2 linked regions of the Canis lupus familiaris genome follow. The protein of the gene in region 2 binds, or shares a complex with, the protein of the main gene of each other region. Links are inferred from orthologs where the notes say so. Each region holds a gene or a part of one and is shown on either strand. Other genes may lie near its edges. The genes, in order: BRF2 and BDP1.

Evidence for each region.
Region 1: BDP1 (region 2) and BRF2 share a complex: the UniProt entries of both Homo sapiens proteins name them as parts of the TFIIIB complex. The link is inferred for Canis lupus familiaris from reciprocal best matches to the Homo sapiens genes BDP1 and BRF2.

Annotation. Positions count from the first base shown.
Region 1 is NC_049237.1:28,279,612-28,284,118, reverse strand, and holds the start of BRF2 (transcription factor IIIB 50 kDa subunit), read right to left. Parts: upstream 2,902-4,507; 5' UTR 2,805-2,901; coding exon 2,651-2,804; intron 1,964-2,650; coding exon 1,904-1,963; intron 1,435-1,903; coding exon 1,113-1,434; intron 287-1,112; coding exon 1-286. UniProt on the Homo sapiens protein: General activator of RNA polymerase III transcription. Factor exclusively required for RNA polymerase III transcription of genes with promoter elements upstream of the initiation sites.
Region 2 is NC_049223.1:53,887,209-53,891,613, forward strand, and holds the start of BDP1 (transcription factor TFIIIB component B'' homolog), read left to right. Parts: upstream 1-1,413; 5' UTR 1,414-1,627; coding exon 1,628-1,839; intron 1,840-4,405. UniProt on the Homo sapiens protein: General activator of RNA polymerase III transcription. Requires for transcription from all three types of polymerase III promoters. Requires for transcription of genes with internal promoter elements and with promoter elements upstream of the initiation site.

The sequences.
Region 1 (4,507 bases), on a different chromosome or scaffold from region 2:
CAGCAGCACAGCCAGCAGCTCCTGCAGGCGGGAGGAAGCAGGGCAGGGCAGGTCCACATTTGCCAATTTACAAAATCGGGCAAGTGAACAGGTCAGACGCTCCGAAGGCTGCAGTGACTGCCAAGCCAGGAAGGTAGCAGCGGTGATGACAGGCAAGGGGTGCCGCCCGGTCACCAACCATGTCTCGTCTGCCAGCTCCACCAACTGCAATGTTCGCGACAGCATCTTCTCTTTGTCCTCCACATATTTGGCTGGAACAGACGGGGAAGCTTGGAACAGTTTGAAGCTGAAAAAAGAAAATGAGAGTCTGGTCTCCATGCCTACAGGGGAGAGGGCTGCTCTTCCAAAGCAAGGAAAAGGAGTACACTCGCAGTGGGCAAGCTCTTCTCTCCTCTTGGAATGCTCAAGTTCGCTGGCCAGGTACGGAGTTCATAGAGGTGCAGAGAGAAGACAGGCTGAGTCTTCTACTTGTGCAGCGAAGGGCAGGAAAATGCACAAGAAAGCTCACGTTTGTCAGCACCTCCACCGGCCATCATTCTGAGCGCTTTACAAATGTTCTCCTGTCATCTCCTCTACACCCCACTAAAAATACATATAGTTTAAAAAAAACTGGCCCATATTCATCCAGCTAAGAAGTAACCATGCAAACCCAAAGCCACTTAACACTGATAACCTTTGCTTTATACTGTATTTTTCAGAAGAAAGAAAACACCACAGCTACTTAAAAAAAAGACATTAGTTTCTGCTTCCAGCCCCATGACTAACATCCTGTTGCCTCCATTCACAGATGATCCTGCTGAGGCAGGGCTGGTGCACACAGCCAAGCGGGCTATGCACAACACAAGAGCCACAACTCAGTGGCCCTCTGCCAAGGCTGACACCTACTTTGCTTATGTCATTAGGTTGCAGTGAGGGCAAAGGGATTTGGAAATGACAGCAGTCTAGAAATGTAAAATGGGATTAACCTTATTAGTACTGGGCACAAGAGAGGGAGACTACATTTTTCTCCCAAATTCCTTTAAATGGGCTTTGGTGAAAAAGAGACAGCAAAGCTCAAAGGACTGGGTTCTAAGGAGCCAGCCTGTCCCAGAGTTTGCCAGCGGGCAGCTTACCTGCTACAGTAAGTCTTCACCAGGTCCGCCAAGCACAGGGATGGCACATCCAGCCCCAGGAGCTTCACTATCTGCATGTAGGTGCCAGAAAACACTTCCAAATCTGCATACAGCAGGGCGCAGATGGTTCCCATGGTGAGGGGCCAGTTATGCTGTCGGCAGGTAATTAAGACACAGCAGCCAACCAACACTTCCTTCTTTTGCAGCCTGGCAGCACGGATGCCAGAGTGCCGGTACGCTTGCTGGTAGTAGGCAACTGCTGTGTCCTCAAAGGTTGATGGCAGCTGCAGAACTCGACAGAGGTCTCTCACTCTGCGGAGACCTAAGAAAGCCCACAGCAAGAGTTGGGGGGAGGGGGGGTGTCAAAGTCAAAGGCACTACTGTGCAGCTCCTAGCAATTTCTGCTAAACTTGCCTCCAACACCAGATGCACAAATAATGTAACTTTCTAAAATGACAAGAGTGACATTTGGTGAGGTCATTCTAAAGGCACAAAGAAATCTGTGCAAAGAAGTTACATTTCAACCCACCATTCTTTGGAGGTCAGTCTGATTCAGAGCCACGCGGGAGTGTGATCTGGGATGTTGGAGTCTACATGTCACACAGCCCTGACACACCCAACCTGTATACAGAATCAGAACCATAGACTCTCTCAGAACCACCTCCATTCTTTATTTCCAACTGCCATTCTTTTAGGCTCTACTGTACACAGTAATAGTGAAAACAGGAAAAGCAAGAGGATGGGCTGGACCTTCCAGAGAATTTTCTGTATCATAAAAGGTTGATTCTCACCTCGTTGCTGGCTGCGACTGACTTGTTCGTTTTCCCCTGTGCTTCGGGAATAGGTTACTTCTGTAAGGCAACGGACAACAAACAGCTTGTTCAACCTTTATTCACCAAACTCCTGGCCACCCGCCACACAAAACTGGGGAGAATTCCTATCATTAGGCTCCATTCCTTATCTCACAGAAGGTGCCCCACTTTGCACGTTAAGAGTCCATCTGGCCTTCTATGCCCACAAGCAGTAGAAATACAGAGACTGAGAAGGTCACCATGGCACTAAAGTGGCCTCAGGTGCTCCAAATTCTCAGCCCTCCCTCCTGTGTATCCAATCCCGGGCAATTTTCCTGAGTCATGATTTTGAGGGCTGAACTGGTCAGGCACTCGGAAAACAAAGAAAAAAAAGGGGGGTGTTTTTGCCAATTAGTGCTAAAAACTATTTCGGGATAATAGTCTTGTCTGTATTTGTAAAGAATTGACCCATAACCCTTCCGTCATATCCAGACTAGGTAAACCGAGTGTACTTTGTTTCTGTTTCATTTGGTCAACGCTTACTATACCTAGCATTTATACATGTTACACCTAATACATATATATATTAGGTACATGTATATATAATATATATAATACCTAACACATGGCAGATGTCGCACCAAGTGCTAGAAAAGCAGACGAACGGCAGCCTCCGCCCTCCCGCAGGCCGGAATCTGACGACAGCCCCTCCACCGCCGCGGCCCGCACACCCACAGCCCTGGGTACCTCGGAGGTTGCCTTCGTCGCTGAAGGTGGTCGTAAGGACTCCCTCGGTGACCACGCAGCCACAGTCTGAGCACACCAGCTGGCTCTGCGAGTAGTGCGAGTCGTCCACGAGCTCAGCGGACCCGCAGTCGGGGCAGCGGCCTCCACCCGGCATCTCACAACCCAGAGCCGCAGAAGCCCCCGGGCACCCGGGCCCACGCCTGCAAGAGCAACGGTGGAGAAACCGGAACTAGGAGGGAAGCCTTCTACGCGGTGCACCTTCCTCTTCCGGCTCCAGAGCAACCGCGGGATACGTAGGTAGTTCGGGCGGCAGGCCTCGCACACTTCCGGTCCGTTTCCCTGACGGCTCGGGTAGAAACGTGAGCTATAAAAAGAGGTTCCTGGCCTGGACCGCGTCTTGGCGTCCCGTGGTATCTGTGGTCCGATTGAAGTGGAGCAGACTGGGGGTTGAGTGGGTGAAATTCTACCTACAGGGACACACATCACAGACAAGAAATTGTTGCCGTTCCCAAACAACTCTCCTTTCTGAAACTCTAGGGGAATCGTAAATTATCTATTTCTCTTTGGTAGCAAATGTTGATTTGGACCGTAGTACAAAGTATGCGTAAAAGGAAGAATATTGTAGTGAGAGGACATTGTGCCAGACATGTTGTTTCCCCTCTTTGCAGTCTATTTTTCTCAACTATAGAAAGTTCAGAGTGGCAAACTCATGCTCTCAGAGAGAAGGCAAGGAATGTCTGAGGGAATTGGGAGGGAAAGAACATGAGGTGCTGAGGCTTTGGGCAAACTGGAGGTTCCAAGCCGACTTGGATGTTTTTAAAAGCTGAGTTTTCAGATATTCCAAGAGTCTGGCTCCCAAGCTCCTTTGTTGGTATAGTATAAGTCAAAGAATCAGTGATGCAAACCAAGCTTACAAATTTTAAATTATGTATGTTATGTTTGAATACACATTAAGTCACCAGAAGAGTGTATTTTCTAAGCAAATAAAGATTTTATTTATTTATTCATGACAGACACACAGAGAGAGGCAGAGACATAGGCAGAGGGAGAAGCAGACTCCCTGTAGGACTTGATCCCAGGATCACACCTAGAGCTGAAGGCAGACGCTCAACCACTGAGCCACCAGGACATGCCAAGAATAAAGATTTTTTAATGCTTGAACGTTTTAGAATCAGCTGTGTCTGAAAAACAAGAAAGTTGAGTTAAATGGCAAGGACCACCAGAAGTCTGTTCCTTAAAACTCCAAGAAGGCAGATGGGAGTCAGCACAGCAGGTGCACGAAATCTGTGTGGAGAGTCTGTTTCTCGGGCTGACAGTGGAGAATTTCAGGTAGGCTCCTGGCATTAGCAGTTTTTAAGAACTGTCATGGGCTCAATTTCAACCTTATACGGGGGATTGGGGTTGGAAGGGTAAGATCAGCATTTTCCACTGAGAACAGAAAATGATTGGACAGCTCTATGCAGAATTAATTGAGAAGTAAGTATGTTTTGTTAGACCTTCATAAATTGGGATACTCCCTTGAGGAGTAAGATACGGGTCACAGCTGCCTTCCTTAGAAGACTAGTAAATTTTGCATTCTAGAACTGAAAAATTTTCAAAATAAAAAATGAAGCTTATTAGTCTGAAGAGACAGGTGACACAATGACCATGTACCCGGAGATTCCTCAGAAGATTTGAGCCTCAAAAAGTAAAGAATCTGATTAGACAGGGCTATAGGTTCTTTTGAAAAAGCTATAATCAGTGGTCAGGTACATGGGATTCCCTGTATGCCTAACGAGACTATGAGTTCTCTGGACCACAGTGGGAACAAGGGCATCTCTGACGCAAAGATTGCATTTAATCTATAATCCAAGGATC
Region 2 (4,405 bases):
CACAGAATCCAGAGACCTCTATTTTCTTTCCAGTCTTAGAGGAATCTCTTCTCTCTCCTATGCTTTCATCCTTGTTATTTAAACTTTGAAAAGCCCTTGTCTTTCTCCTGTCTTGATGACATAGCAAGGATTAATTAATAAAGGATTAGATTCCTTTGACATTTTGTTATTAACAGGATATTCTTGTAAAATCTTGTCCTTCAAAAAAAAAAACAAAACAAAAAAAAAAAACAAAAAAAAAACTTGTCTTTCCAAGAAAGAAGTCAGACCTGTCTGTTGCAATTGCAATGAGTCAGGGGATTTATATAGCCGGCAAGAACTGGCCCATACTGTGTAAAACCGATGTCATCTATGGCCATTTTTCCTCTCCTTATAGAAACCTTCCCTAACCATCCTACTAAAGCAAGCCAGCCTTCCCTTAATCTCTGTGATACTATCCTTTACGTTTCTTTTATAGCATTTAATAAATTCTTAAGTTATCTTGTTCTTTTGTTGTACTCTTTTTCCCTCCCCAACCCAGAACGCCTTGCTTATGGCTCCACTGCCATCTCCCGAAACAGATTAGGGAATACTTATGTTAATTTACTACATAACTATATACTTTTAGCTATAATAATTTCTGAACAGGTACATTAAAAAGTAAACAAAGGTACAAAGTGAATGGTCTTCCTCCCATGACATGTTCCTCTTGGAGGAGGTCACTTACCAATTCCTTCACACCTGAATTTGTCATCTATGTTCTACTCACTTTAGAATATCTTTTTTTTCCTTTTTTTTTACGATTTTATTTATTTATTCATGAGAGAGAGAGGCAGAGACACAGGCAGAGGGAGGAGCAGGCTCCATGCAGGGGGCCCCATGAAAGACACCCCCCCCCCTCCAGGATCAGGCCCTGGGCTCAAGGCAGGTGCCCAACCGCTGAGCCCCCCAGGCGTCCCTACTCACTTTGGAGTTTCTAAGTTCTGGGGATGTGCTGGTGAACAGGCGCTACTCTGCAAGACCTTATTTTTGTAAAGTAAAAAAAAAAATTTTAAGTACTCTAACACCTCCCCGCCCCCCCCCCCCCCCAGGCGTGGGGCCTGAACTCACGACCCCCGGATCAAGAGTCCCACGCTCCTCTGGCTGAGCAGGCGGGCGCCGCCTGATTGCACCGGTCTCCTCACGGTTTGCGCCCAGCGGCTTGCAAGACTCCCTCTCTGCGCCCCCGCCAGTAACTCGCAGGGATTCCTGCGGCGGGGGTGGGACGGAGGAACGCTTCGCCGCGCAGTCCCATTTCCGGTTTGCTGGGGCCCCTGTAGCTTGACAGTTACCATGGCTCCGGGAGCCGTGCGTCTGACGTCCTTCCGCGGCGCTGGCTGATGGCGTCATCAGTTCCGGCGCCCCCCCGAGGGCGGGGAAGCGAGGTACGGCGGAGACTTAGCTCTCAGTGTGGCAGGGTCATGAAGAAGAGGCGGCGGCGGGAGGAAGGCGGCGGCGGCGGGGGTGCGAAGCTGCGGTAGCTGCCCGCGGGGCTGGTGGCGTGGCCGCGTGGAGAGGGCGTAGCTCTTAATCCCTTCCCCGGGCAGCGGCCGGGGCTCGGGGCTGAGAGCGGCCGCGGGGCCGCCTCCCCGGGCCCCCTGGCTCCGCCATGTTCCGCAGGGCACGCCTTAGCGTGAAGCCGAATGTCAGGCCTGCCGCAGGCGCCCGGGCTTCCACCGCCCCCACCGCGCACCGCAGGCCGGAGGCGCCCGGGCCCCAGGCCCCGGCGGCGGCCCCTTCCCCGAAGCCCGCGGAGTCCACGGATGTGCCGGCGGCCGCCTGCGGGGGGAGCGAGCCCCGGGCGGAGGCCCCCCGGAGCAGGTAAGCGCGCGCGGAGGGGCGCACCCCGGCGGGCCCGACCCGCGAGAGCCGACCGCAGGCTGCGCGGTGGAGGACTCCGCCGCCGGCACCCGCGCGCGGGAGGCCCTGGGAGCCCGCCGCGAGCTGCAGTGTGTGGCTCCGTCCGCAAGGCGTGGGCTGTGTGGTCGGGAGCGGCCCGCGTCCTCCGCAGCGGTGGGAGCTCCGGAGGGGACGACTTGGAAGCCCAAGGTGCCCACACGTGCTGTCGTTCATGGCACGGCTCGGGCGGCCTTCCCGTCGTTTCTCTCCCGCTGGAGTCCTCGGCGAGGAGCTGTAGTTCCTACAAATTTGAAAACACTCATTTCTCCCTAAAAGACCAGTGTGACTTCGGCTCTGCTGATTTGTGGCCGTGGAAGGGAGATGTTCCTTGCCTTTTTTTTTTTTTTTTTAAGATGTTATTTATTTTTTAGTGAGAGACAGAGAGGCAGAGGGAGAAGCAGGCTCTCTGCGGGGAGCCCGATGTGGGACTCCATCCCGGGATCCCGGGGTCACGCCCTGGGCCGAAGGCAGGTGCTCAACCGCTGGGCCACCCGGGTGTCCCAGGATATGGATTTTCACTTTTTTTAAAAAAAGATTTTATTTATTTATTCATGAGAGAGACAGAGAGAGAGAGGCAGAGACACAGAGAGAGAGGCAGAGACCCAGGCAGAGGGAGAAGCAGGCTCCATGCAGGGAGCCCGACGTGGGACTCGATCCCGGGACCTCGGGGTCACGCCCTGGGCTGAAGGCAGGTGCTCAACCAATGAGCCACCCGGGTGTCCCAGGATACGGATTTTCACTTTTTTTTTTTTTTTTTAAGATTTTATTTATTTATTCATGAGACACACAGAGAGAGAGGCAGAGACCCAGGCAGAGGGAGAAGCAGGCGCCATGCGGGGAGCCTGACACGGGACTTAGTCCTGGGTCTCCAGCATCAGGCCCTGGACTCAAGACAGTGCTAAACCGCTGAGCCACCCGGGCTGCCTCTTGTTCCTTGCTTTGGTTTGAGGGCCTGCCCCTTTAGAGTGGCCTTTCCGAAGGGAAAAAACATGTGCCAGGACCACATTTGGATTCAGGGTGTTTTTGTTTTTTCTTTATTTAACCGTTTACTAGACGTGGCCAGGCAGGATTTATTTACCTGTTAAAATGGAGATAACATTACCTGCTTTGGAGAGTTGTCGTGGAGTTTTAGGAAAAACCTGACAAGCTGTCTTGTGTAGGACCTTGCAGAATAGTTGTGTACAAAAAATTCATTGTTTAAAGTAAATGTGATGGTAGTGATTAACAAAGTAATTAAAGTTAAGACATGTTGGGCTATTAATAGCCTCTCTTTCTATAATATATACGTGAGGAGAACAATAAAACCTGACCCTATTAAATGACAATGAGATGGTGTAAATTCTCTGTATGCTCTGACAGGAAGGTGAAGATTTTATTCCTTTTTTTTTGTCCAATCTTCCTCTGTTCGCCTAAACTGGTGCTGGGTACGGGGTGTTATTTTGCTAGCTTAGTGATGCTTTAGAGATTTCCAGGTTTCTTACATGAATATTTCTTTCAAACTTCTAAAAAAGGAAATACAGGTATTAGTCATTGTTAATAAAGTTGGCAGAGATCCTGTTAATTACACATTAGTGTGTGATGATTGTAATTTAATGAATTACTGAGGTTCTGTATTCGAGACATTTGAGGTTGAGGATATTTGGTTTTTGACAGTGGGCATTTATGGAGTACTTTAGATTTTTTTTGTTGTTTAGTATGGTGTTTTGTGTGTGTGTGTGTGTGTGTGTGTGTGTGTGTGTGTGTTTGCAGTTATAAATGTAAGTGGTAAAAACAAGAATGTAAGTTTTGTCCTTAAAGTTTCAATGAAAAAAAAAAGTTTCAATGAAATTGAGTGAAATGGCACATGATGCAAGGATCAGGTTATAAAGGCTGAGATAAGAATTTAAATTGGAGATTTCTTTGGGTGCCTGGCTGGTTTAGTAGGAAGAGTATGAGACTCTTGATCTTGGGATTTTAAGTTTGGGTCCTACATTGAGTGCAGAGATTACGGGGGGGCGCGGGGGGGCTTTCAAAAAGGAAATTTCTTGGAAAGGTTATTCTATAGTTTTAGGCATTTTCCATTTTTATATAAAACTAATTATAACATGAAAAATGTAGACTGCTTTTAATTCTTATCTAATTATCTCTGACTTAATTTGCTTTCAGGCCTTTTTGTTTTCTTTTTTTTTTTTTTTTTAAAAGATTTTATTTATTCATAGAGACAGAGAGAGAGAGAGAGAGAGACAGGCAGAGGGAGAAGCAGGCTCCACGCAGGGAGCCTGATGTGGGACTCGATCCCAGGTCTCCAGGATCAGGCCCTGGGCTGAAGGCGGCGCTAAACCGCTGAGCCACCAGGGCTGCCCCCAGGCCTTTTTGTTTTCTTTTCAAAGATTTTTTTATTTATTCACGAGAGACAGAGAGGGAGAGAGGCAGAGACACAGGCAGAGGGAGAAGCAGGCTCCATGCAGGGAGCCTGATGCGAGACTCGATCCTGGGACCCCAGGGTCAC